Rattus norvegicus: one gene and its partners. The protein of the gene in region 4 purifies or fractionates together with the protein of the main gene of each other region. This does not show direct contact. Links are inferred from orthologs where the notes say so. Each region holds a gene or a part of one and is shown on either strand. Other genes may lie near its edges.

Region 1 (5,926 bases), on a different chromosome or scaffold from region 4:
TTGTGGGTGGGAATGGGATTAACTACATTTAAAATAAAGGATAAGATAAATTTTCTCCAGCTAAGCTACATGGATGGCTGTGGTACTTGGTAAACTTGGTACTTGGTACTAAAAACTGTTGACCTGTATACTTAAAATCAGTAACTTCTATAATATGTTTTATAATACCTCAATACACATTTTTAAAACTACACATGCCTTGCATAGGGGAGGAGCTCAAGAAGGCCCACTCTCAGATGAGAAACTACCTACACAGTTCACAGTTGTTTATGGGGTTGGGGGCAAGGGGTCTAGTTTTCTTCAGAGATGTGACCCCTAGTGGATTGGCCCCGTACCCATGCACATATCTGCACCACTATATACATATGTGACATTGGGATGGAGATTTGGTGGGAGGGCATGAAAGGAGTTGGAGGGGGAGAGAGAGCGCACTAATTAAAGCACATTGTATGAAACTGTCAAATAATAGATTAAAACGTATTCTTATAATGCGTGTGCTCTGTTTCACCAGTCCCTTGACTTAACTACTTAACAACTACGGCCGTACTGATTACAAACCCATACGACCTAGTTTAATTTCTGTCATAAAATGCCCTGACTAAAAGTTACTTAGGAAAGAAAGGGTTTATTTTCTCTCAGATCTCCAGGCTACAGACCTTTTGAGGGAAACGGAGGCAGGAAGTTGAAGCAGTCACATCCTCAGTCACCAGCAGAGAGAGAGACAGAGAGAGACAGAGAGAGACAGAGAGAGACAGAGAGAGAGACAGAGACAGAGAGACAGAGAAAGAGGGAGAGAGACAGAGGGAGAGAGACAGAGGGAGAGAGGGAGAGAGACAGAGAGACAGAGACAGAGACAGAGAGAGAAAGAGACAGAGGGAGAGACAGAGACAGAGAGAGAAAGAGACAGAGAGAGAGACAGAGGGAGAGACAGAGACAGAGACAGAGACAGAGAGAGAGAGAGAGAGAGAGAGAGAGAGAGAGAGAGAGAACACATGCATGGATGTTTGCTCATGCTCAGCCATCCCTCTATACTTACACAGTACAGGACCCAATCTCAGGGAACAGTGCTGCCCAGAATTTTTTTTTGGGGGGGGGGGGCTTCCCACTTTAACATGTGCACGAGCTAATTAGATCTAAGTAACTCTTCATTCAGATTCCCTTCCTAGCTAAGTCTTCTTTGTGTGCATTTGACATAAATAGTAACTATCACACCATACAGTGTTTCTTTAGGGAAGATCAAACAACATCAGGAAAACCCCCAAACAGCTCATTCCACCAGGGTTCTCCAAGAAAAAGATTTTTCTCGTAAATCAAAGGTCCCTTCAGTTCCATTTATACTTTAGGAAGCTGGTGGTTTAGAAGCAAAGAATATAACCAAATAGTTTTAAATTATCCCGTGACAATGGTTTGAGGAATCAGAGTTGGTATTGCACTCTACACCGAGAGTACAATAAATTTTTTTTCAAAAGCAAACAAAAGCATTTAGCAGAACATGAAAGCATAAACGGCTAAGTTATATAACTTACCCTAAATGGCAAAGCAGCCGTTTGCATAACTTTGTACTGCCAATCCAGCAAAGCAGTTCTCAGCAAAGATGGTGTCAACATCACCCATCAAATCTCTGGACCATCTCACGACTATCCACAGTTCTTACAAGATCCCGATTTCATAAGACTTCAAATAACTTTACGAACATTTTAGGTCTTTACAAAAATACCCACTTGGTGAGACCATGTGTGACCACCTTAATATAATCTGCCTAACTAAAGTCCCCATCCTTTCTTCCCCTAGTTGCCTTTCTCAGTAGGAGGGAGCATACATTTTTCACGTGTATTCTGATTGCATTTCCCTCTCGGAAAAGTCCCAAGAAAGCTCAGGTTTTGCTTTCCTAGAACTCTGTTGCCTGGAACAGTAACTCGCATGTGGTAAGAGCATTCAATAAGCAGTGTTTCTCATTGTACAAATGGGTATTAGATAGACCGAGAGGAGTTAATCCTCGCAGGAATGATGAGTCCCTGCCTTCTATTCAAGTCTTCACTGGAGGTTAAAATGTGAAAAATATGCCTTAGCATAAAATTCCCAGACTGCTTACCCACTATTTATTCAACAAAAAAAGCTAACGTTTCACTTTTAATTCTCAACTCGCTACCAAGTATCTTCTTAACAAGAGCTGGTAATCAAACCAAACCCATGTGACTCTTATTAACTAATAAGAAAACAAAGCAAAGTTTAATACTTAACTAGTAAGTGGAGTTGAAATTTCAAAAGCAACCTGTTTTTTTTTCCCCCCAAAACCCACAATTTGCCATCAAACAAACGCCTTGCCTAAGCAAGTCTGACATCTTGGGGACCCAAATTCCATTACCAAGGAACATTTTTCCCAGACCCTGACCCCAGAAGTCTTCCTAGAACCAATTTACACACACCAATCAACCTGCAGAGCTGGGGTTCCCCTAAAGCCTCTGCCCAACCAGCTGCATTCCAGCGTTTTCACACACCCAGCAGAGGGGACTCGCCACCTCTCAGCTCTAGGCATGCCCCTAGTCAACTCCACCATCAAAGGCCTGGGACAGGGAAGAATCTGGGGAAGCCAGGGGCCTTATCGGCAAGGCCAAAATTGGAGGACATTTTAGACCTCACCCTGAATCTGCCAATTCTCTGTGACCTTGGGCGTGCCGCTGAAGCCTCGGAGCTCGCGTTCTCTCACCTTTAAGGTGAGGACCGCACCCTGGCTACGCCACGTAAAGGATTAAGTGAGACCACAGATGCTGCTCCAGGCAGAGCGCTTGGCACCAGTGGGAGACCCACTCCCAATCCGCGGCGCCGTGACTACCCCATCCTCCCCACGCTTCGGGGCCCTTTGGACTGGGCCAGTCGCCCAATTCTGCAGACAAGTGAGCTGACGGGTAGAGAAAAGACAGGGTGCTCGCAGACACCCCCGCCAAGGCACAGCTCAGACCGTGGGTCCCCCTGACCCACGCCCCGGCTGCCGCGCCAGGTGCCTGTGCCCCGGGCTCGCCTGCGAGCGCTCCACCTGCCACCCGGCCCCGCGCCCGCGCCGCTGCACTCACTCTTCACTTTGCCGAAGGTGCCGACGCCCAGGGTGTCCCCCAGCACGTAGTGTCCGATCTTCACACGCCCGTCGTGCTTCTGCTTCTCAGCCATGTTCGGCGCGCGGCCTCCCCGGGCCGCGGGCTCTAAGCGCCGCCGCCGCTGCCGCCGCCGCCACCGCCTACCCACAGTGCAGCGGGCCCGGGGGGCGGGACGGGGACGCCTGGGGCGCGGTAGGGTGAGCGCGGCTCGGCGTGTGTGGACGCGAGCTGGAGGCGCAGAGCCCGAAGCGTCCTGAGGAAAGCCCACGGCGGTGAAGATGGAAGGGATGAGTCTGAGAGCGACCGAGGTGAAAGGAGAATCTGAAGAGAAGTGGGGGTGAGGGGGTGCAGACCATGAGACGTGCCTCAGGACAGCAGGACCAGGCGGGGAGGGCGGCCCTTCCCTAGCCCCTGGCACGCTCCCCCCAGGCAAGGTTTATTTGACTGGGAACGCTCTAGTCCGTACCCTCCTCAGATAGCGACCCCATTGTTTTAGAACTCACGCTTATTTTGTAGTTCCTTGTCACGTTATTGTTAGGTCGAAACCCTGGACAAACTGCCCAAGGAGACGCCTATCATTAACATATCAAAGATGACGCTGGCTGCCAGGTTCTCTCAGCATCCCTCAGTCCCTAACTGGGATAGGGTCCTCCTGCCTGCCATACCTCGACTCCTACCCCGAACTCTCCAGCCCAGGGACTCCAGCCCCTTCCCTCAGGTCCCCTGGTCCCTAGATTATTCAGCCATTTTGGCTGTGCTAATCTCTCAGCCCAGACCACCCACCCCTCTAGGCCTGGCTCCTCTCTTGCTCCCACTCCCCCTCTCTCCTCACATAGCCCTGCTCAGTCTGCCCATGTTCACCCTGGACTCTCCTAAACGTCCCTGCTTCTGCCTGTACGTTCGTTTATCTACAATAAGCCTTCTTCGTTGTGTTAGTTAAGGTTTTTTTTCATTGTGATAAAACACCATAGCCAAAAAACAAGTTGGGGAGGACAGGTATTATTGTTACACTTCCACAGCACTGTTCATCTCTGAAGGAAGTCAGGATGGGAACTCAAACAGTACATGGAACCTGGAGGCAGTCCCGATGCAGAGGCCATGGGGGGTTAGCACCGGGAGGGTGCTGCTTACTGGCTGGCTCATCAGGGCTGGTACAGCCTGGTTTTCTACAGAACCCAGGACCACCAGCCCAAAGATGGCACTACCTACAATGGGCCATTGATCACTAATTAAGAAAATGTCTTACAGCTTACATCTTATGGAGGCATTTTCTCAATTGAGGTTCCCTCCTTTCAAATAACCCTAGCTTGTGTCAATTTGACAAATGACAAACCAGCATATCCACTGTAGCCAGGAGCAATTATGTCCCTCCTTCTATTTCTTTTCTTCATTCAGTTATATAGACAATCGTGTTATAGGGATAAAAGACACCCTCTCCAGGACTCTCGATTCTAACTAATTTAAACAAAATTTCTCAATAAATCACAAACAGAGCCCTAAGTATATTTCAGCACTTGTGTGTGTGTGTGTGTGTGTGTGTGTGTGTGTGTGTGTGTGTGTGTGTGTGTGTGTGTGTGTGACTGGACAAAGGAGAAATACTAATATAGGAAATAATTCACATGTTCAGGTAAATGCAAAACACAGAAGGGATCAAAGAATTGTGGGAAACAAAAATGATGTAAAAGTGCAAATTAAAGAAATGGATTACTGAGGATGAAAGTAAAAAAATAGTAAAGAGAATCCAAAGCATGACCAGAGTATTAACAGTGGGCAAATAATTTATGATCAAGCAATCTCTTCCTCCCTGCCTCCCCCTCCCCCTTCTCTCCTTGCTTTACTTAATGTTGGTCGATCCTTCCATACCTGAAGATTATTTGCTTCCTGTTACAGGAATATGAAACTTCATACCTCCATTACTTCCATAGCAGTTCCCTGAACACATACAAACACTGTACTGGCTAGTATTGTGTGTCAACTTGACACAGGCTGGAGTTATCACAGAAAAGGAGCCTCCATTGAGGAAATGCCTCCATGAGACCCAGCTGTAAGGCATTTTCTCAACTAGTGATCAAGGGGGAGGACCCAGCCCAGGGTGGGTGGTGCTGTCCCTGGACTGCTAGTCTTGGGTTCTATAAGAGAGCAAGCTGAACAAGCCAGGGGAAGCAAGCCAGTAAGTAACATCCCTCCATGGCCTCTGCATCAGCTCCTGCTTCCTGACCTGCTTGAGTTCCAGTCCTGACTTCCTTTGGTAATGAACAGCAATGTGAATGTGTAAGCTGAATAAACCCTTTCCTCCCCCAACTTGTTTCTTGGTCATGATGTTTGTGCAGGAATAGAGACCCTGACTAAGACAAACACATTTCAAAACATTATAAACACTTGCAATTTTTCCCATGAAAAAAGTAATTTAGAAACACAAAGAAAACTGATTATTTGCTGTTTGGTGATTAAATTACTAAAGGTTAGTCAAACAACTGTGACACTGTGCATGCCGATAGAGTTTCATAGTCACATTCCTCAAACATGAAGTCTCAAGTCACGATGTTTGTACGTAAAGAGTGAACCTAGGAAATGGGCATAACAAAATTTCATCTCCTGAGACCTAGTAAACATACAACTGACTGACTCTCTTTTGTGTGTACGCCATGGCGATCTGATGAGAGGTGATCTCAGCGTATAAATTATAGACATCACAGCTGTCGGACACGGGCTATTTTTGTTCGCTCTTCAGATCACCTTTCCTGCTGACAAGACGTCTCACTTACGAATCTCAACCTAGCTGGTAAATTTGAGAAAGCTTCCTGGCTATTTTTAAGGCTGAACTTTTATTTGGT
Region 2 (5,890 bases), on a different chromosome or scaffold from region 4:
TCACAGTTTCAGGAAAAATTGGCAAGTGGTTTTACCAAAAATTTCCTTCTGCTCCTTGACACCATCCTGTTGATGTAACTGGACTGTTTTGTGATTATTTCTCTTTGTAAGCATTTACTTATTGTGCGCAAGTGTATCGTAGGCACACATGTGGACGTCAGAGGATAACCTAACTGGGAGTCCATTTTCACCTTCAACCATGTGAATTCCAGGTTCCAATTCAGGTCTTCAGGCTCTATGCTGTGTTCCTGTAACTACTGAGCCACTTATCCTGCCTTAGTTTGTGTTCGTTTTGGGAATCTCATGTAGTTCAAATCAGCCTCAATGTCCCTAGGTAGCAGGGGATGACCTTGAACATTTGATCTCACTGGTGATAATCTCCAGTGCTGGAATTGCAGGCATGAGCTATCATGCTCACTTTTCATGCTACTGGGGATCAAACCCAGGGTTTAGCCCATGCCAGGCCAGCACCCTACCAAAAGCTACAGCCTGAGACCACTTATTTCTTGTAGATTAAAATAAACAGTAGAACCTTCCTGGGTTAAATCTTATCCAGGATGCAAATGTGAAGTAATTTAAAATGTCAGTTCATGGGGTGGGAGAATTTAAAGGGTTTCCCCCTCCTTAAGAGAATCCAGAGCTATTTCTGCCTAATAGTAATACGTGTAAAATAGGGAATTGATTAGCCACGACTGTTCTCAGTTACTGGTTTCTACTTAGAAGAAGTTGTTTCTCAGCCCGTGGCTCGCGACCCCCTACTGTATCAATCCCCTTAGATCATCAGAAAACACAGATGTTTACATTGTGATTACTAAAAGTAGCAAAAATTGTTATGAAGTAGCGTTGAAAATAATTTTATGGTGGGAGAGGGGTCACCACCACCGCATTAAAGGGTCATAGCATTAAGAAGGTTGAGAACCACTCACTGCTCTAAGCTTAAAGTGGATTTCTTTCCCCTGAAGAGGTTTCCTTGGAACAAAGTGCTTAATATTACATTGCTTTAATGTCATAAGCCAGAAGATGGGAAAACTGGGAGTTTTTGCATCCCAAAGAAAAATGACATTTCTAGGCTCTTAAAAAAAGTACACCGTCATGGAGACTGACCTTTCTCTCCATTGGCAACGACAGAAATTCAAACTAAAAAATCGAAGGGTGGCATCTGTTTATATACGTTTATGATAATACCCTTATTTTGCCTATCGTTAGAACCGAGTAACAGATTCACTTCAAAATCCTATTTCAAATAAACATACTTTTTGGTGAAATGCTATGGCCCCATTTATAAAAACAACATACTCTCTTTTTTTAGTGCACTGAAAATATACATTTTATTGAAAATGTAACAATATTAATTTCGATACACCATAATTTCGGGATAACACGTCTCTTTCCGGAGTACACATAACTCACACACATTCCATCGGGGAAATTTGAGGGTAGTAAATTTCCTAGGAAGACCCTCTAGGCTGCTTGAGCTGTGCGGTGTCCAATAGTAATTTACTGGCTCAGAGTTTTCTTTTTTTAAACAGTGGGAAGTATTAAAAGTGCAAGTGGAAACATCCTTGGCTTCCAGATGACAGGGAGATGAAAATCAAGATTAGAAGACAGTGGTAGGGCGGTGTCCCCTGTCTTGTTTCACAGCACGCCGCACTATCCCCGGGCAAGAGTACGCATGGTCCTCCTGGGAACTACAGAGGGGCTGTATCTTCTTCACCCGCAGACCCTCGAGTGAACTAGGGGAGACGGCGGCCCGCTCCGCTGCAGGGGAGGCCCTCCCGCGCGCAGGTGGGCAGGCGCGCGCAGAGGGATGCGGGGCGCCGAGGCGAGTACCGGCGCCGCTCCCGCCGCCCCGCCGCCTAGCCCGCCAGGGGGAGCGAGTGCGCTCGGCGGCCGGCTGCGGGGACTGCGGGGCCTGCGCGGGCGGCGGCCGGCGACTGCGCCCCACCGCGGCGCACCCGCGTCCCCACCCCCTCGGCGCCCGCCCGCCCCCGGCACGGCCCTGCCCGCCCCCTCCGCCCCCTCCCGCGGCGCCATGCGCAGACTCAGTTCCTGGAGAAAGATGGCGACGGCCGAGAAGCAGAAGCACGACGGGCGGGTGAAGATCGGCCACTACATCCTGGGGGACACGCTGGGCGTCGGCACCTTCGGGAAAGTGAAGGGTGAGGACGCCCGGGCCAGCGCGGACCCCGCGAACGGCGGGCGACCGCGCCTTTTCGCACTCCGCATCCTTCCCCGCGCCCGCCTTCCGGGTGTCTGGGCTCCGTATTCCCGATCCCGGCGGCGCTGGGAGCGGAGCCCGAGGCCACCGCGGGCTGCAGAGCTATGGGGTCCGTCGCGGTGGGGTGGGGGCGGTCGCCATGGCGACGGCGCGGCGCCCGAGGGGCGGGGATGGCTCTGGGTGCAACTTTCCCAGGCGAGGGAGTTGGACACTGCGCGCGCGGGGGAGCCCGGCGCGGACGAGAGGGTCTCTTCTTCGGATCCCCTGTGCGCCCTCGGCGCAGAGCCAGCCCATCGCGCCCTGGCGGTCCTTGGAGTTGTCGCTGCCTTGCTTTTAGGAGGTTGTCGACTTATGTGCTTCTTCATTTTCCTGAATCGAAATGTGTTCTTCCAAAAGTAAGGTAGCTGTGAAGATATCTTTCAGAAATAATAATGCCCTTGTAAGGACTATTGATCTCCATCAGGACTTTTGATGGCTATGCATGCGAACTGGCGCTGTGTTTCCTATGCGTGGTTTACAGTTGGATGCAGACTCTGCTTTAAGTGTTTTCGTTTTCAGAAGTTTTGCGGTTTCTGAGAGCCGTACCTGGTAGGTAGGGCTTATGTTAGCCCAGATGGTATTTATTAGCTTATAGGTACAGTTTCCATTCATTCTCAAATATATTTATATTTTAGTAATTCAGAGCCCATGTTTTGAACTTTTTGTTTGTTTTGGTAGAATCCCCTGCCTTAGCAAAAGCACAAGTATTGTCTTCAAACTTGTAGTCTAGCCCACCGTCTGTGACAAGGTCATTTCTGATTACAACCTTTGTGAGTGGACTTTTTTTTCCCCTTTAAAATATTTAAGCCTGCTATTAAGTATTTAGAGGACGGAAGTTTGGAGCTGATAAGAAATAATTCATGCATTGGTTTTGGAGAAATAATAGACTAAGACCTGCACATACTGAGCTCTTAGTAGATATTTGATTGAAATGAAGTTTGTCAAATTACACAGCAAGCTAACTGAGCTTCGTTCTCCCAGGAGGAGCAGAAGACCCCTTCCTTCTCTTTCCCAGTCCTAGAACTGAAAGATGCTGTGTAACTCTTAGCAGAGCAAATGCATAAATCTTCCTAAGGAAAATCAGTAAGCTAGACAGTGTGAATGAGGAGGGGGAGTACAGTCTAGGGCAGGAGCACTGATCACGGTAAGCCAGTGAAATGTTTGTGAACACTTTGAAGTTTCAGCTTTGTCTCTTTTTATGTATGTATGTATGTATGCATGCATGCATACGTGCATTCGAGAGACTGTTACAATGCTGTCCAGGCTGGCTTTGAACTTGTCATTCTTCCTGCCTCAGCTTCTCTTCCAGTGTTTTGTTTAGCTTTAACTAGGCATGTTCCTTGTTTGCCATCATAGTGCTTTTTAGTTGACACGTGCTGGTAAGAAAAGCTTATTAAGGCTCTGATTGAAATGATAAGGCAGGCTTGGACTCAGAAGGCTCCTTCCGAAGGTCCTGCTTGGAATGTGGCGTCCGGTCTGCCATTTCTTTGACATGGACGAGAGTGGATCAAGCAGAAAGGAAAGGAAGAAGAGATTGTTTTCAGTTCTGGGCCTTGACCTGTGAAGTAGCAGTGACTCGAATCTCCCTCCCAGTGACTCTGCTTTTCCCTAACCTTCACTGCTCCACCCACCCACACAGTCTTCTCTTGAAATACTATACTGTCAGTCATAAACCTCCTCAAACACAGAGGGCCAGTGTGAGTCAGAGGTTATATTCATGGTTATAATTAAACTTGTCCTTGAACCTGTTAGTTGATGTGGGTCTAAATATTCAGTCATTTCATTTAAAACTGTTAAACGGGATGCTTTTTTTTTTGACATTAGTAATAGAAACCATGATTTTTGCTATGATCCTCTCTTTACTAAGGAATGGCTGGACTGCCATATGTCATTTTATTGCATCAGAAAGGGGTTAGCATGACTGCCTTAGTTAGGGTTTTACTGCTCTGAAGAGACACCATGACCAAGGCAACTCTTATAAGGACAACATTTAATTGGGGCTGGCTTACCGGTTCAGAGGTTCAGTCCCTTTTCATTAAGGTGGGAACATGGCGGCAGGCAATGTGCAGGAGGAGCTGAGGGTTCTACATCTTCATCTGAAGGCTGCTAGCAGAATACTGGCTTCCAGGTAGTTAGGATAAGGGTCCTAAAGCCCACACCCACAGTGACACACCTACTCCAACAGGGCCACATTTTCTATTAGTGCCACTCCCTGGGCCAAGCATATACAAACCATCTTAATGACCATAGGATGACCCAGGTTTGGATGTGTATGTGTGTTGGGGAGGGAGGGGCATTTTCCTTTTTTTAGTCTCTGGCTACAGTGCACAGTTATGTGTGTGCTTGCTCTTCCTATTGCGACACTATGAAGAAGGAGGACTATTAGGTAGGAGAGGAAGCAGAAGGCAGGAAAGTGCAGAAAGGGGGTAAAAATAACCACAGTGTCTGGTCATATTGGAAATTTTTTAAAATTAGTTTTATTTTATGTGCATTGGTATTTGCCAGCATGTGTGTCTGTGTGAAGGTGTCAGATCCCCTGGAACTAGAGTCACAGACAGTTGTGAGCTGCCATTTGGGTGCTGGGAGTTGAACTCAGGACCTCTGGAAGAACAGCCAGTGCTCTTAACCACGGAGCCACCTCTCCAACCTCCCCCATCTCTAAGAATTTTTAGAGATAATTGCATCAGTCATAAATTCTATGTATGTATGTATGTATGTATGTATGTATGTATGTATGTAGGATCGATCTATCTTTTTTTTTTTTTTCTTTCTTTTTTTTTTTTTTTTTGAGACAGAGTTTTTTCTTGGTAGTCCTGCTCCTGGAACTCACTCTGTAGACCAGGCTACACTTACACTCAAAGATCTATCTGCCTCTGCCTGGCTCGAAAGGTGTGTGCCACCACTACCCTAGCCTTAAATTCTAATTGAGAAAATGTACTTATTTTTTGAAAATTTTATTGAAAAAATATTTTTCAATTATTATATATGTTGGTAAATTTAACATAAGAGAATTTAACAGAAATGTGATACTTATAGATGGATAAATCACCCATATGATATTTAGTGCTTCCGGGGGATATACGTGTGTTTGGTTTTCTTTTTTTTTTTTTTTTTATTTCTTTTTATTTTTTTAAGATAGTGTCTCATTTAGCCAGATTGTTCTCAAACTTGCTGTGTAACTGAGAACAGCTTTGGGCTTCGGATCCTTCTGTTTCTACCACCCTGGTGCTGGGACTACCAGCCTACGTGCTAACATGCCTGGTTTTATATAGCGTTAAGGATTGAACCCAGGGCTTCATTCTGCTAAGCCAAATGCTCTACCAACTGAGCCACATCCCCAGTCTTAGAAATTTAATTTTGGGGCTAAGTTGATAGTGGTTGTCTTGTTATGAAATAAACAGTAATGAAAATAATTGGGTTACTTAATGATAGCATTTGGAGGGGAAAGTTTAAGCAGAAAACTAAGGGTTGGGATAATGCTTGAATTATTTCTGAGGTATCCTTTTCTGTGTTTATTAAGGTGTTAGTCTCTCCCCCTTGTTGTCTCCCATCCCCCATAAACAGTTACAGAAGCATGGACTAAGAGAGTCCTGCTTCCGTGCGAATAGTACAGTGAAATTGTGACTTCATGAA
Region 3 (6,131 bases), on a different chromosome or scaffold from region 4:
TTTTACTCCTTTTTTAAAAGAAAGCTTTTGCAAGTTATTTCTATATTTTAACCCAAGTCATTTTAAACAATTCTACCATTTAATTCATCCAAAAATTCTCACAAGAAAACCCCATGAAGGATATAATTTACTTACATTCTTCCTACACCTTCATACATGTTAGTCTCATCCACCAGTGTCATGATCTCCGTGTCCGTAAGGTGTGCGTGCTTTTTTGTCCTGTTTAGCTGTTCAATCTGTATGTCTGCAAGCTTCACCTTCTGTTGAGTATCAATAACTTTGGCTTGAAGCTCTGTGAAGGCCTAAGAAAAACAAGTGCTTGATTTAGTAGGCTAAACTTAAGTCAAGGGGTTGGGGATTTAGCTCAGTGGTAGAGCGCTTGCCTATGAAGCGCAAGGCCCTGGGTTTGATCCCCAGCTCCGAAAAAAAGAACCAAAAAAAAAAAAAAAAAAAAAACTTAAGTCAAATTTAGATTTGTTAAAACAGAACATGCTAACCAGACAAGGCTGTAAAATTTACCAAGATAATGAGAGTCAACAGAATTGTAAATTCTAAAAGTACACTATTCATTGACTCTATTCATAGAGGATGTGATCAATATGAATAAGCAAAATAAATGTGCATTAAAAAAATAGCTATACATCAACTAACCACAGAGTAATAAAAGAGATAAATAAAATACTCAGGAGATAAACCCAAGAGATTCAATGCAAGAAACAACTTACTACATCTGTATTATGTAACTAGAATCCAAAACACCTCACATTATATCAAAATCCTGGCTGGAGAGCCAGACCTGGTGTCTCCCACCTATAATCCTAACAACTGCGAGGCAGAAGCAAGGGGTTCAGGAGCTGTTTGGAATTCCGACTCATAAGATATTTGAAGCCAGGCTGGGCTACAAGACACCTAGTCTCACAAAAGAAATTTTTTTTAGGGGATTGAGATTGACTCAGCAGATAACAGCACTGTCCACCAAGCCTAATGACCTAAGTTTGACCCTGGGAACTACTTGGTAAGAGAACACTTGAGCACACTTTCAAATGCACAAACTACATTTTAAAATTAATTTTTAATCTATCTATAAATAGATAAATAGATGGGTGGGCAGACAGACAGACAATGGTTCACAGATGGCTCAGCAGGTAAAGGTACTTCTTACCATGCCTAACAACCTGAGTTCCATCCCTGGGACCTGAACCTACATGATAAAAGGAGAAAACGCTTTATATAAAGATATAGATACATAGCTGAGATTTACATGTCAGGCACAGAAATGCATTAATCCTAGAACCCAGGAGGATCTCTTGTGATTTCTAGGCTAGCCTAGTCTACCTATATAGTGAGTTCCAAGCTAGTCCAGGATGCATGGTGAGACCATGTCTCAAAAAGAAAAAGAGAAAAAGAAAGAAAAGCTTACAAGGCTGAGATTTATAGCATGAGAGAATGCTATCTAAGGCTAAGTTTACATGTTTCAAGACAAGAATGGCAGAAAGATGCACATATTTAGCATCCCCAGAACAATAGCAAGTGGCTTCTTTTATTAGGAACAGCTGTTTCAGCTGTCGTATTACTTAGGCACAGGTTAACCAGAGACAGCTACTTATGATGTTACTTATGGGAGCTAGGGAAACAGTGCAGTCAGCTGACCCAGGGTTCACTCCCCAGGACCCACAAGGTGGCTGAGCTTGGGAGCTGATGGGATGGCTCAGGGGTTAAAAGCACTGGCTGCTTTTGCAGAGGACCAGGTTTGGTTCCCAGTACCCACATAGCAACCCACAACCACATGTTAACTACAGTTTCAGGGGGATGCAAAGCCCTCTTCTAGCCTGAGAGGGATGCACACATATGGTATACAGGCATTCATGCAGGCAAGACACATACATAAAAATACAACTTGTTGTTGTTTAATGCTAGGCATGAAGGGCAAGGGGGAAATAAAGGTCCCAGCAGCTCACAAGACAATCTCGCCAAAGTGGCAATCCCTAGGTCCCAGTGAGAGGTCTTGTCGAATGCAGGAAGCCCTGAGTGCAAATCCTAGCACTAGGGAAACTGGGTGTAGGGGTGCATGCCAACTACATAGCCAAGTTCCAGGCCAACCTAGGCGACATGAGACTCTGTCTCTTGGGAAAAACAAAACCAGAATCCAAATCTGGGCCAGTAGATGGCTCAGCTTGCCTAGAAGGCCTGATACCAAGAGTTCAATCCCCAGGACCCACCTCATAAGAGAGAACTAACTCCCAAAAATTGTTCTCTGACTTCCACTAAGCACCTTGCAAAATGTACACACACACAACTTTTAAAAATGTTTCTCACCTAAAAAAAACCTACTGAACAAAAAAAAAAAAAAAAGGATTACAGTAATTCCAAATGCTAGACTCCGTTTTAAAAATGTGTTTACTGGGGTTGGGGATTTAGCTCAGTGGTAGAGCGCTTGCCTAGAAAGCGCAAGGCCCTGGGTTCGGTCCCCAGCTCCGAAAAAAAAAAAAAAAAAAAGAAAAGAAAAAACAAAAATGTGTTTACTATTGTTTGTGTGAGCACCGAGCAGTGTACTAGTGTGTGCCTCTAAGATTAGAGAACAACTTTGTGTAGTTCTCTCCTTCTACCGTTGGTTCCAGGGATAGAACTTAAACAGCCAGGCGCCTGGCAAGTATTTTCACCACTGACCCATCTTGCTGCCTGGGGCTCAATCTTTTAAGACTTTTCTTGCCAGGGACCCTAGCACATATCTGTTACCCTAATACTCTGAAGGCAACAGCACTAAAGTACATTAGGGGTTCAGGGCCTGACCAAACTAAACCAAGCTAACCAGAAAGAAAAAAAAAAAAAAAAAAACACTAGAAGTTTACCTTTCTAGAAAAGTACATTTAAACAGAATGAGTTCTAGGGTCCTTTCTAATTACAGCTAACTCTCCACAAAGATAGCACAGCCAGGATCAGTCCCAAGACTGTTAAGTAGCAAAAATGTTTCCAATTAACAACCCATTTATAAACAGGCATTTGACTCAAGACTAATTCCCAGAACTCAAGAGGCTGAGGCAGAAAGACTGCCTGGAATTCAAGGGCAATAAGTCCCACGTCAATCTAGAACACCCTGAGACATTGTCTCTTAAAAAAAAAAAAGCAAAATAACAAAATCATTTCTAAGCAACGGATTGAACAAAATAATAATAACAACAACAACAATCCAATTCCTCTGAAAGGTCTTTTGGAAAACTTACTTGGGGAGGAGGGGTAGTGTATGAGCTCTTTACAAAGGTGATGGGGAAGGGAGGATTAGAGCCTTGACAGGAGTCAAGCAGTGTCTGCTTATTTGAGGTGTAAATACAGAAAGACCTTTCAAGGTATAGTGTAGAATAAATGACCTAAAAGCAAAGATTGAACCTGGAGTTTTTCAAATCAAATGAGGAAACCAAACTGCAAGTTCTCCTGCAAGCATCCTGACAGGCATCATCACTGTGAGACACTGTCTTCAGTCCTTGCTATGAAATTGGTACCCGACGGCTCCAAAACACAGAGAGATGTCTCTGAAGTTCCAACATAAGAACACACTGCAGCCCAGCCCGCGTGCGACCCAGCAACCTAAACCCACCAGAAACAGCTCCTGCGAGCAAGAGCCTCCACCTGAAGCAGAGCGGGTCCGGTCTCAAGGCTTCGGGAGGCCAGACCCCGCCCCCTACAGTCTCCTTCCTCCAGCGAAACGCGAGCTTTCCCCCTCCCCCCTCACGCCCCCATTTTCGTCCCTACTCGCTTTATCATTCAAACAGAAGTGTCTGTCTGCTGAAAATCCCCCCTTACCTTCTTCAACTCCAGATCCACGGAGGCGGCCATATTGAAGGACACTATGCGCCTGCGCTAGAGGCAAGCCGGAAAGGGGTGGGGGAAGGGCGCTTGCAGGTTTTATTGGTAGGCTTCCTTCTGCGCCTGCGCAAAGGTGAACTCAACTAACCCAGATTTCTCAGCTTGTAATCTACCCGACTCTACCACTCTGCCACGAGACAAATGACCCTGAACATTGAAATTCTGATTATATTTGATAAACGTGTAACTGCCGAGATGTAACTTGCTCCTCCACATACAATTAGAAAAACATCTTCACTTGGGCTGCGGAATTGAAACAGGTTTGTCGGTCAGCTCATCAATCATTCATTCAGTTCCTGTGCTGTCAGTCCAGCTTCGGGCATGCCAGTAAGACCATTAGCAATATGGTTCATCTAAAAAGAACCTAATTCTGCCGAAGCTTCCTCATATATCTTCTAGACACAGTGCTTCTTGAGACAATTCTGTTTGTTGGGATCAGATTCCTGACTGGGGTGTAGTTCAGTTGGCTAAATGCTTGCCTAGCACATTTGATACTCTGAATTGCCCCGTACAAAACGAGTATGATGATGCATTCCTGTGATCCAAGTGCTAGGTAGGTTGAGGCAGGAGGATCATACGTTCAAGGTCAGGTCAGCCTGGGGAATAAAGGTGCTTGCCACCATAACGAAATAAATGAGTTCAATCCTGAGAACCCACATGGTGCAGAGAACTGATTCCCACAAATTATCCTCTGACTCCCTTCCATGTGTGTACCTCCACACATGCTTATGAACGCACACATACACTGAATAGATTCAAATTTAAAACTAGGAACTGGAGAGATGGGTCAGCAGTTAAAGAGCTTATACCCTTGGGGCTGGAGAGATGGCTCAGTGGTTAAGAGCACTGACTGCTCTTCCAGAGGTCCTGAGTTCAATTCCCAGCAACCACATGGTGGCTCACAACCATCTGTAATGGGATCCGATGCCCTCTTCTGGTGTGTCTGAAGACAGCTACAGTGTACTCATATAAATAAAATAAATCTTTAAAAAAAAAAAAAAGAGCTTATACTCTTATTCCAGCGAATCAGAGCTTGACTCTCAGCACACGTTAGATGGCTCACAATGACCTGTAATCTCCAGTCCCCAGAGAATGCACACCCTAGCCTCTGCAGGCACCTGTGCTTACATGCTCTCACACGCATGCACATGTGTAGACAAAATTAAAGATAATAAGAATAAATCTTTTTGTACTTTAAAAAAGTTCAAGTTATCCTCAATGACATAGAGAGCTGGGGTTCATCTTGGACTGCATAAGACTTGTCTCAAAAAAAACAAAAACCCAAAAACTCAAAAATAATAGATGAGGGTCAAACATTGCGGTCCTCCCCGTGATCCTAGGACTGGAGAAACTGAGGCAGAAAGCTCGCCATGAATTTAAGGGCAGTCTGGTAGTGATCCCAGACCAGTGTAGGCTGCTTATACAGGGGCACCACGCTAAGAGACAGGGGCAGGATACAGACTGCGATCTTACACAGAGATCCACTTTGGCTTGGGCACTGTCATTCTCTCATTCCTGCTTGGCACACAACATACTTCTCTCATCTAAGGGCGTGTGTAATTTGGAGAATGTGCAGCCAGTGTCTGACTAGAAGTGTGTGGAAGCATCCATGTCTCTCAACCTCTGCTTTATGCTTCATACCTTCCTATCTCGGTGAGCTACGCTTCACTAATGTGAGCGTTGTCCCTTCAACTGTGTCTCGTTTGTCATTTCACTCTTCAATTGAATTTTTACTTCAATGACTATAAACTCTAATGTTTCATTCAGTGCTTTTCTTCTCCACTGAGACAGGATTTCACTCTGTAGCCCATGCTAGCCTTAAGCTCCTCATCTGCCTGCTTCAGCCTCCGAAACACTGTCGTTCTAGCTATGCATCACCGTGCTCTGTTTAGACTACAGTTTAGAAAATTCTACTTAGGCCAGCTAATTTAAATTAAAGGCTACAAAGTTAAATTCTGCCTCAAAAATCCAGAAATAAAAACTTTCCAGTTGATCATTTTCAAATTTATCAGCTCTTTCCCATGCTACTTGATGTTGAATACAATTAGAGCATACTCATTCTAAGTACTGGACGCTTTCTTTACAATGCCTTGGGCCTGAGGTTTTCTGGATGTGATTTCTTTCATTGAGGATGTCTGCTGGACCTCTCTTGTGATGATTTTCTTTGATCCCAGTGCTAAGGAGACAGAAGCAAGAAGATCTCTGTCTAGACCAGCCAGGACTACATAGACCTAAAAAAAAAAAAAAAAAAAAAGAATAAAAGAAAGAAA
Region 4 (6,010 bases):
AGAGAGAGAGAGAGAGAGAGAGAGAGAGAGAGAGAGAGAGAGCGCAGGCTCAAGTGAGCAGAGAGGATGTTTACCTGTCATTTGGAGAGATGGAGACCAGAGGCTTGAAGCAACCTTGTAGGTAGATCTCTGCAGAAAAACCTGAGTCAGGCCACAGTAGTTCCCAGTGGCCTTGCTCTGTCTCCTGACTGCTTACCTCCCTGCAGGCACTTAAGGCTTCCCCATTGCCTTATACCCTCCCACCTTCTGTCTCAGGCCTTGGGCTCCAACTTGAACCCCTGCAGTCTTCTCCGACTTACCCCTCCAGGTCTCAATCTTGTGTTCTTCAATCTCATAGATCTGGACCTAAAGACATTGGTGGGACTTTGGGGTCAGACTTGAGCCCTGGAACATCAGGCCTCCTGAAGATGTCCCTATCCCAGCCCACCAGTCACCCCAGAACTCACCAGGGGAGATCTGTAGTAACGGTGCAGCACCAGGATGAAGTCCGTGATGGTGAGCATGCCTGCAGGGTTGGCAGGTGACAAACGTGGAAGAAGTTAGGCCTCAGTGCAAGGCTCAGTGAGGACCCAATGCCAACATTCTTGTACCACATGAGGTCCAACCGCCTTTCCTCACCCACAAAGCTCTGCTTCTTGCTGTCCCACAGAGGGGCTGCCCTCACACCGTTGGCCACCATGGCAAAGAAAGCTTTCTTTATCTGAGGGGCAGGAAAGAACAAACGGGGAGGAGTAAGGACTGACAGCAGTCCATCCTCCCCTCTTGTTGTCCCCACCAGTCTCCTCCCATGGTGTCTTTCTTCTCCATATGAGTCTGCCTCTTTCCAATGGCAAGGGCACATTTGCCACACAAATATGGCCACTTGTGCCCAGAGGGACTGAGGGATCATAATTAGACACAGCAGTGTTTCCTCCACAAGGAGGCCATGTGCATACAGACATGATGCTGTTTTACTTATTTAACGACTAGAGGTAATACTTAGTCACCCGTTGCACAGCTGCCTCAGTTTCCCCACTAAATTTGAGACTAACTTGTTTTGACTGGTATCCTCCATATGTGCTGGCTCTGCTTGGCTTTCATCTTTCCTTCCTTCCCATCTCTTCTTCCCTTTTCTTAACTCTTTTCTCTTCTCTCCTGTCCTTTCTATGTTTCTGGTGGTGGTGGTGGTGGTGATGGTGGTGGTGGTGGTGGTGATGGTGGTGGTGGTGTGTGTGTGTGTGTGTGTGTGTGTGTGTGTGTGTGTGTGTGTGTGAGTGTGTGTGTGTGCGCGCGCGCGCGCGCGCGCGCGTGTGTTGTTGTTGTTGTTCCTTGGTTTAGAGGCCGACCTGGAACTTGAGACCTCCCTGCCCCAGCCCCCTCAGTGCTGGCATTACACATGCGTTCCACTGCAGCCAACTCTTTGACACACATCAAGACTTAAGCAAAGCTTTTGTGATAGTATATTTCTTTGTAAAACGCCAGAGCCAGATTGTTCTGTGGATGACACATGTACTAGGCCTCGAGCATGTATGCATCTTGCCTCGAACATCATGCAGTAACAGTGCTAAGGACAGAGTCAGTCTAGCCTAACGGAAGAGTGGTTATCGCAGCTGGTACCCTCCTCTCGGTCCCGAGTAGCTCTGCAATGTCTTACAGGGTATTCTTACTTTGCCCTGGGTTGTTCGAAGACTTCTTTGAAACAAGGGAAGCAAGCTTCTGATCCCCATTTTAGAGATGACGGAGATAGAGTGGCCAACCCCAGGTTTAGCAGGTTCTAGGCAGCAGAGCTGTGATGGCGATTAGGGGATCCCCACAGAGCATGCTCTCTCCCTACTGTGTGTATGACGCTAAGAAGGAGTCCCAGAAAGGGGCTTTCAGACACTACAGCTTGACAAGACAGCCAGGAGAATGTGGGTGGTAGCTACAGAGGCAGGAGGCTGAGCCCTGTGGTTAAGTAGAGTCAAGCTAGGGTCTTACCTCCAGTGTGGTGTCAAAGATGACCAGTTTAGAGCTGGTGGCCATGGCATCATAACAGGTGTGCTCTTGCATGAAGTGCATATAGATCTGGGCTCCAGGTTTCTGAAGCTCATCGTCCCAACTCAGGCTGAGAAGTGGAGCCTGCGGGGAGGGGCAAGGCCGAGGCCTGTCCTGCTCCAGGCCTTTGAGCTCACAGTCCCAGACCTCTGGGCCTGGGAACTCTATGGTCAGCTCCAGGTCACCTGTGCTGGAGCCCACTGCTGAGGCTGCACAGTCGGGCAAGAACAGGTCCCACCCTGTGGTGGAGGTCTCCGCGTCAGCCAAGGGAACAGCTTGAGCCAAGGGTGTGGCCTTTGGGAATGTGGCCTTCTGCCTGGTGGACTCAGCAGCTGGTCCAGACTGGGCACCTGTTGGGGGAAGGAAGCAGGGAGGACAGTAACTTCATCTTCCAAAGCAAATACTCTCTGTGCTTTCAGTCTTTGGCAGCATTGGGGCACGGGGATATTGTAGAGTCTCAGAGTCCTAGCTGACAGTAACTCTGTTCCACCTTTCCAAGGTGGCTGCCCTGGGGCTTGGGGTTGCCAGCACAGGTATTGCTGTCTCGTTTAGGGAGACAGAGGCCATGATGGGACTGGGTTTAAGTCCATGTGATGGAGAGGTCTGAGGTCAAGCTCCGCTCTGGAATTCCTGCTGACCCTGTCACCATAACCGACCTTGGCCTCACCTTCTCCCAAACCTGGTGGCTCTGCTTCCTCTACGGCCTCCTGTCTCGTCCATCTGGAAGCTTTGACTCCCCGTATAGCACAGGTTCTCTCTGAGCTGGTGGCCACAGTTGGCGATGGCCATGAGTTTTCTTCTGGTTCTAAGAAGTCCATCTCTGGAAGGAGGAAAGGAACGTCTTTGATTAGTAGGGAATGATACAACAAACCAAGTCTGATGTCATTAGTGAGGATATTGGCCTTTCAAAGCCCCTCCCACCCACCCCCCTCGGAATATTTTTCGTTTTCTATTCATAGGAATCTTCCAAGGCACATATTGTAAATAGGAATAGCCTTCCTCCTAGTTAGCATGGGGGGGGGCGAAAATATGAGAGGTTAAGCAATTTATCACAAATCACACAGCAAAGGGGAAAGGAGAGATGGGGGACACACACTGGGGAAAAAGAGAAGAGAAAAAAGGGAGAAGGCTGAGGGGGAAAGAATTTCTCCTGACAAAAGCCAAGCTAGGAGTTAAGAACTGGAGTTCAAAAAGGCAGGAGACAAGGGAGCTAAAGAGAAAAGGCTAGACCCACAGGGAGCAGCACTCCACCCACCTTGGCTCTCTGGACCCCCACTGTGGCTCCAGGTCAGGGTCTTTGGGAGAGAATGTCTCAAGTGAAAATGCTTTCTGTTCTAAAGTCCCTGGGTTGTCCCCCTTTAAAAAGCACACCCACCCCAAACACCACAGGTATACAGATATGCACAACTTGCATGCCCCAGGCACACCTGGAACCGTACACAGGCACATACACGCAAAATACATACATACATAGCACCGACCACAGAATAGAGTGCACAACAAGCACCCGGGGCCACGTACCCGGGACACACACACACACACACACACACACACACACACACACACACACACGGCCACTCGCTTGCTGTCCTTCTCCGCGGCCCCCTGGGACCCCGGTACCCCAGGCAGTGTGTGCTCCAGCTCGGGCTCCATGTGGCCAGCTCTAGTCTGTTAGCAAATGCGCGACGGGCTGCGGCGGGGTGGCACTATTCTGGGCCGGTCGTTTGGCGGCAGGCCCTCGGGGTATCGGGTTCTCTCTGATTGTCAGGTCTTGGGAGGGAGAGCTCAGCCGGCAGCTGTTCCGGCACTGCAGCTTGGGGGCGCTACGGAGGTGGAACTCTCATCTTCGAACTGAAAGTTCTAAGGAGGAAAGTTGACTGCCTTTACCTTCTCTTTCATGCAAACTTCCCTAGCCTGGGTGGGATGAATTAAGGAGGATACACTCAAGGATGGAGGTGGGTGAGGGTGTTGTGGGTGGTCCCGAGAGAGGAGCCAGGGTATGTCGAGACTTCCCATTTTGGGTCCCACAAACCTATTCCCTTCTTTAGTGAAAGATGAAGGATGGAGAAAGAGAATCAGACCAGTAGGCGCTCTGCTGGTCATCACAAAGGCGAGAGATGGGACTGAGAGCTTGGGCTCATACCTGTGTGCAGAGGGAGAAATACCTGAATTGACCTGTGCCAAGGCGAGATGAATGGGTATGAAGGAGTCCAGACCCTAACCCACCATGAGTACTGACTCTGCATCTCTCTGTGCCAGAGGGGAACCCAGCCTGGCTCCTGTGCGGCGCACCGCTTTCTTTGGCATTCCTAGGGCCTGAGTCAGAACCCAAATGCGGAACACTGACCCAGCTGCTCTGGCTTCCCTCTCCCTGGCCTTCCCTTCGTCGTGTCATTCCAGTCTCTTCCATCGAGACCCCCTGAGTGGAACTCAGGAACGGACTATTGGATTCCTGCTGGATTTATTGAACATATTTTCTTCTCTCCTTCAAAGCACAAGCACCTGCAACTGCCTTTAAGGAGGGTGGAGACGAACTGTGTAGGAGGGAGGCTTTTGCTTTTCCTGAGTGTCTTTGAGACCTGGATCTGTTGCCAGAGAGGAGAACTCCCGAGGCACAGCAAGTGGGCCCACCTCAGTGTCCATGAGGCTGTGTTCTATTGCCTAGGCATGACAGTCATAGCCTGTATGACTTGTGACTATGGCCCACAGCTGGCCCCTGTGCAGTATTTTCCTTGCTAGCGGCTAGTCAGTCTCTAAACTAGTATTTGTTTTAGATTTTAAGTAGCAGCGCTTCCAAACAAAAATTGGTTAGGATAGAGGTTTGGTTGCTGTAACAAAGACCCACTGTAAGAATGCCCAGGAGCTTGAGAGGTGGCTTAGTGGGTGAGAGCATTTGCTGGACAAATGTGAGGACCTGAGTTCAAGTCCCCAGGGCCCACATATAAAGCTGGATGTGGAGGTGTGGAAGCAGGAGGATCACTGGGACCTGCTGGTCTCCAGCCTAGTTTCAGGTTTAGTGAGAGGCTCTGTCTCAAGAAAAATTAAGACAGAGCCTCTGGCACACCACATCACTCTCTCTCTCTCTCTCTCTCTCTCTCTCTCTCTCTCTCACACACACACACACACACACACACACACACACACACACACGGAGGAGGGGAGGGAGGGGGAAGGTATTTTAAACAATAGTCTATAGACAGTCAAGAACTGGTAAGGTAGTTGTGAAACCATCCAAAACAACTTTCTTCTTGAATATCAGATGACCATTCTAGCTTCTACCCTTGCACTAGCATTCTAGCTGGAAGAAAGGAAAGGAAAAAAGAAAAGAATCCATGCAGCTCCTAAGACCCAAAGTGGAAGCTACTCCCTCACTTTTGCCAACTTTAGCCACGAGGCTTCAAAGGAGCAGGGAGTTGGTGATCTCAGTCATTATGATGGGCAGTCGTTCCAGTTCAAATTCATTTAATTCTACCACTAAAAGAAAAGAAAACTAGAGAGTCTCATTTGGCAATCTCCATTACATAATGTTTTCATTCCATCACCCAGGCATGGAAAGGAACTCAGAGAAAACAGACAGTGCTTTCCAAGGTCATTTGGCAAGCAAACAACCAGCTTAGACTTTAATTGGATCTGGCCGATCCCTGAAGGAACTTTTCGTCACTTCCAGTCAACATGGTTTGGCCACCCAGGGGCCAGAAATCAAATGAGCTGAAAGATATTTGCACACGGAAGGGTAGCTCTGTTCTGAGGAGGGTACAAAGGTCACGTGCTATAGTGAACGATGCACCAGTTCTGTGTGTTTGATGCAATCAGGGCTGACTTTCCAGAGGAGGAGGTCCTATGTGGAACATGGAGAATGGAGCATTGAAGGGAAGGCAGAGGTGTGAGATTTAAGCCTGCTCTGAATCCGTGAAAGGGACGGGAGGTATACTGGGAAGGTCAGGAGTGGCCTTTCCAGGTTTACTGCATCATGTGCCCTTGGGATTGGACCACAGAG

Evidence for each region. Proteins that work in one complex are often made in the same cells at the same time.
Region 1: the proteins of Prkag3 (region 4) and Prkaa2 purify together in Homo sapiens (affinity purification with mass spectrometry; 3 studies listed by BioGRID and IntAct, counting the BioPlex papers as one, with this or other methods). This does not show direct contact. The link is inferred for Rattus norvegicus from reciprocal best matches to the Homo sapiens genes PRKAG3 and PRKAA2.
Region 2: the proteins of Prkag3 (region 4) and Prkaa1 purify together in Homo sapiens (affinity purification with mass spectrometry; 3 studies listed by BioGRID and IntAct, counting the BioPlex papers as one, with this or other methods). This does not show direct contact. The link is inferred for Rattus norvegicus from reciprocal best matches to the Homo sapiens genes PRKAG3 and PRKAA1.
Region 3: the proteins of Prkag3 (region 4) and Pfdn1 purify together in Homo sapiens (affinity purification with mass spectrometry; 3 studies listed by BioGRID and IntAct, counting the BioPlex papers as one, with this or other methods). This does not show direct contact. The link is inferred for Rattus norvegicus from reciprocal best matches to the Homo sapiens genes PRKAG3 and PFDN1.

Annotation. Positions count from the first base shown.
Region 1 is NC_086023.1:125,105,153-125,111,078, forward strand, and holds the start of Prkaa2 (5'-AMP-activated protein kinase catalytic subunit alpha-2), read right to left. Parts: upstream 3,859-5,926; 5' UTR 3,596-3,858; intron 3,414-3,595; 5' UTR 3,166-3,413; coding exon 3,072-3,165; intron 2,996-3,071; exon of another isoform or gene 1,527-2,995; intron 1-1,526. UniProt on the Homo sapiens protein: Catalytic subunit of AMP-activated protein kinase (AMPK), an energy sensor protein kinase that plays a key role in regulating cellular energy metabolism.
Region 2 is NC_086020.1:55,965,743-55,971,632, forward strand, and holds the start of Prkaa1 (5'-AMP-activated protein kinase catalytic subunit alpha-1), read left to right. Parts: upstream 1-2,032; coding exon 2,033-2,159; intron 2,160-5,890. UniProt on the Homo sapiens protein: Catalytic subunit of AMP-activated protein kinase (AMPK), an energy sensor protein kinase that plays a key role in regulating cellular energy metabolism.
Region 3 is NC_086036.1:28,337,266-28,343,396, forward strand, and holds the start of Pfdn1 (prefoldin subunit 1), read right to left. Parts: upstream 3,859-6,131; 5' UTR 3,832-3,858; coding exon 3,799-3,831; intron 303-3,798; coding exon 136-302; intron 1-135. UniProt on the Homo sapiens protein: Binds specifically to cytosolic chaperonin (c-CPN) and transfers target proteins to it. Binds to nascent polypeptide chain and promotes folding in an environment in which there are many competing pathways for nonnative proteins.
Region 4 is NC_086027.1:83,749,857-83,755,866, forward strand, and holds the start of Prkag3 (5'-AMP-activated protein kinase subunit gamma-3), read right to left. Parts: upstream 3,774-6,010; 5' UTR 3,667-3,773; coding exon 3,634-3,666; exon of another isoform or gene 3,584-3,633; intron 3,309-3,583; coding exon 3,269-3,308; intron 2,834-3,268; coding exon 2,681-2,833; intron 2,364-2,680; coding exon 1,957-2,363; intron 1,283-1,956; exon of another isoform or gene 1,032-1,282; intron 701-1,031; coding exon 619-700; intron 506-618; coding exon 447-505; intron 346-446; coding exon 300-345; intron 142-299; coding exon 75-141; intron 1-74. UniProt on the Homo sapiens protein: AMP/ATP-binding subunit of AMP-activated protein kinase (AMPK), an energy sensor protein kinase that plays a key role in regulating cellular energy metabolism.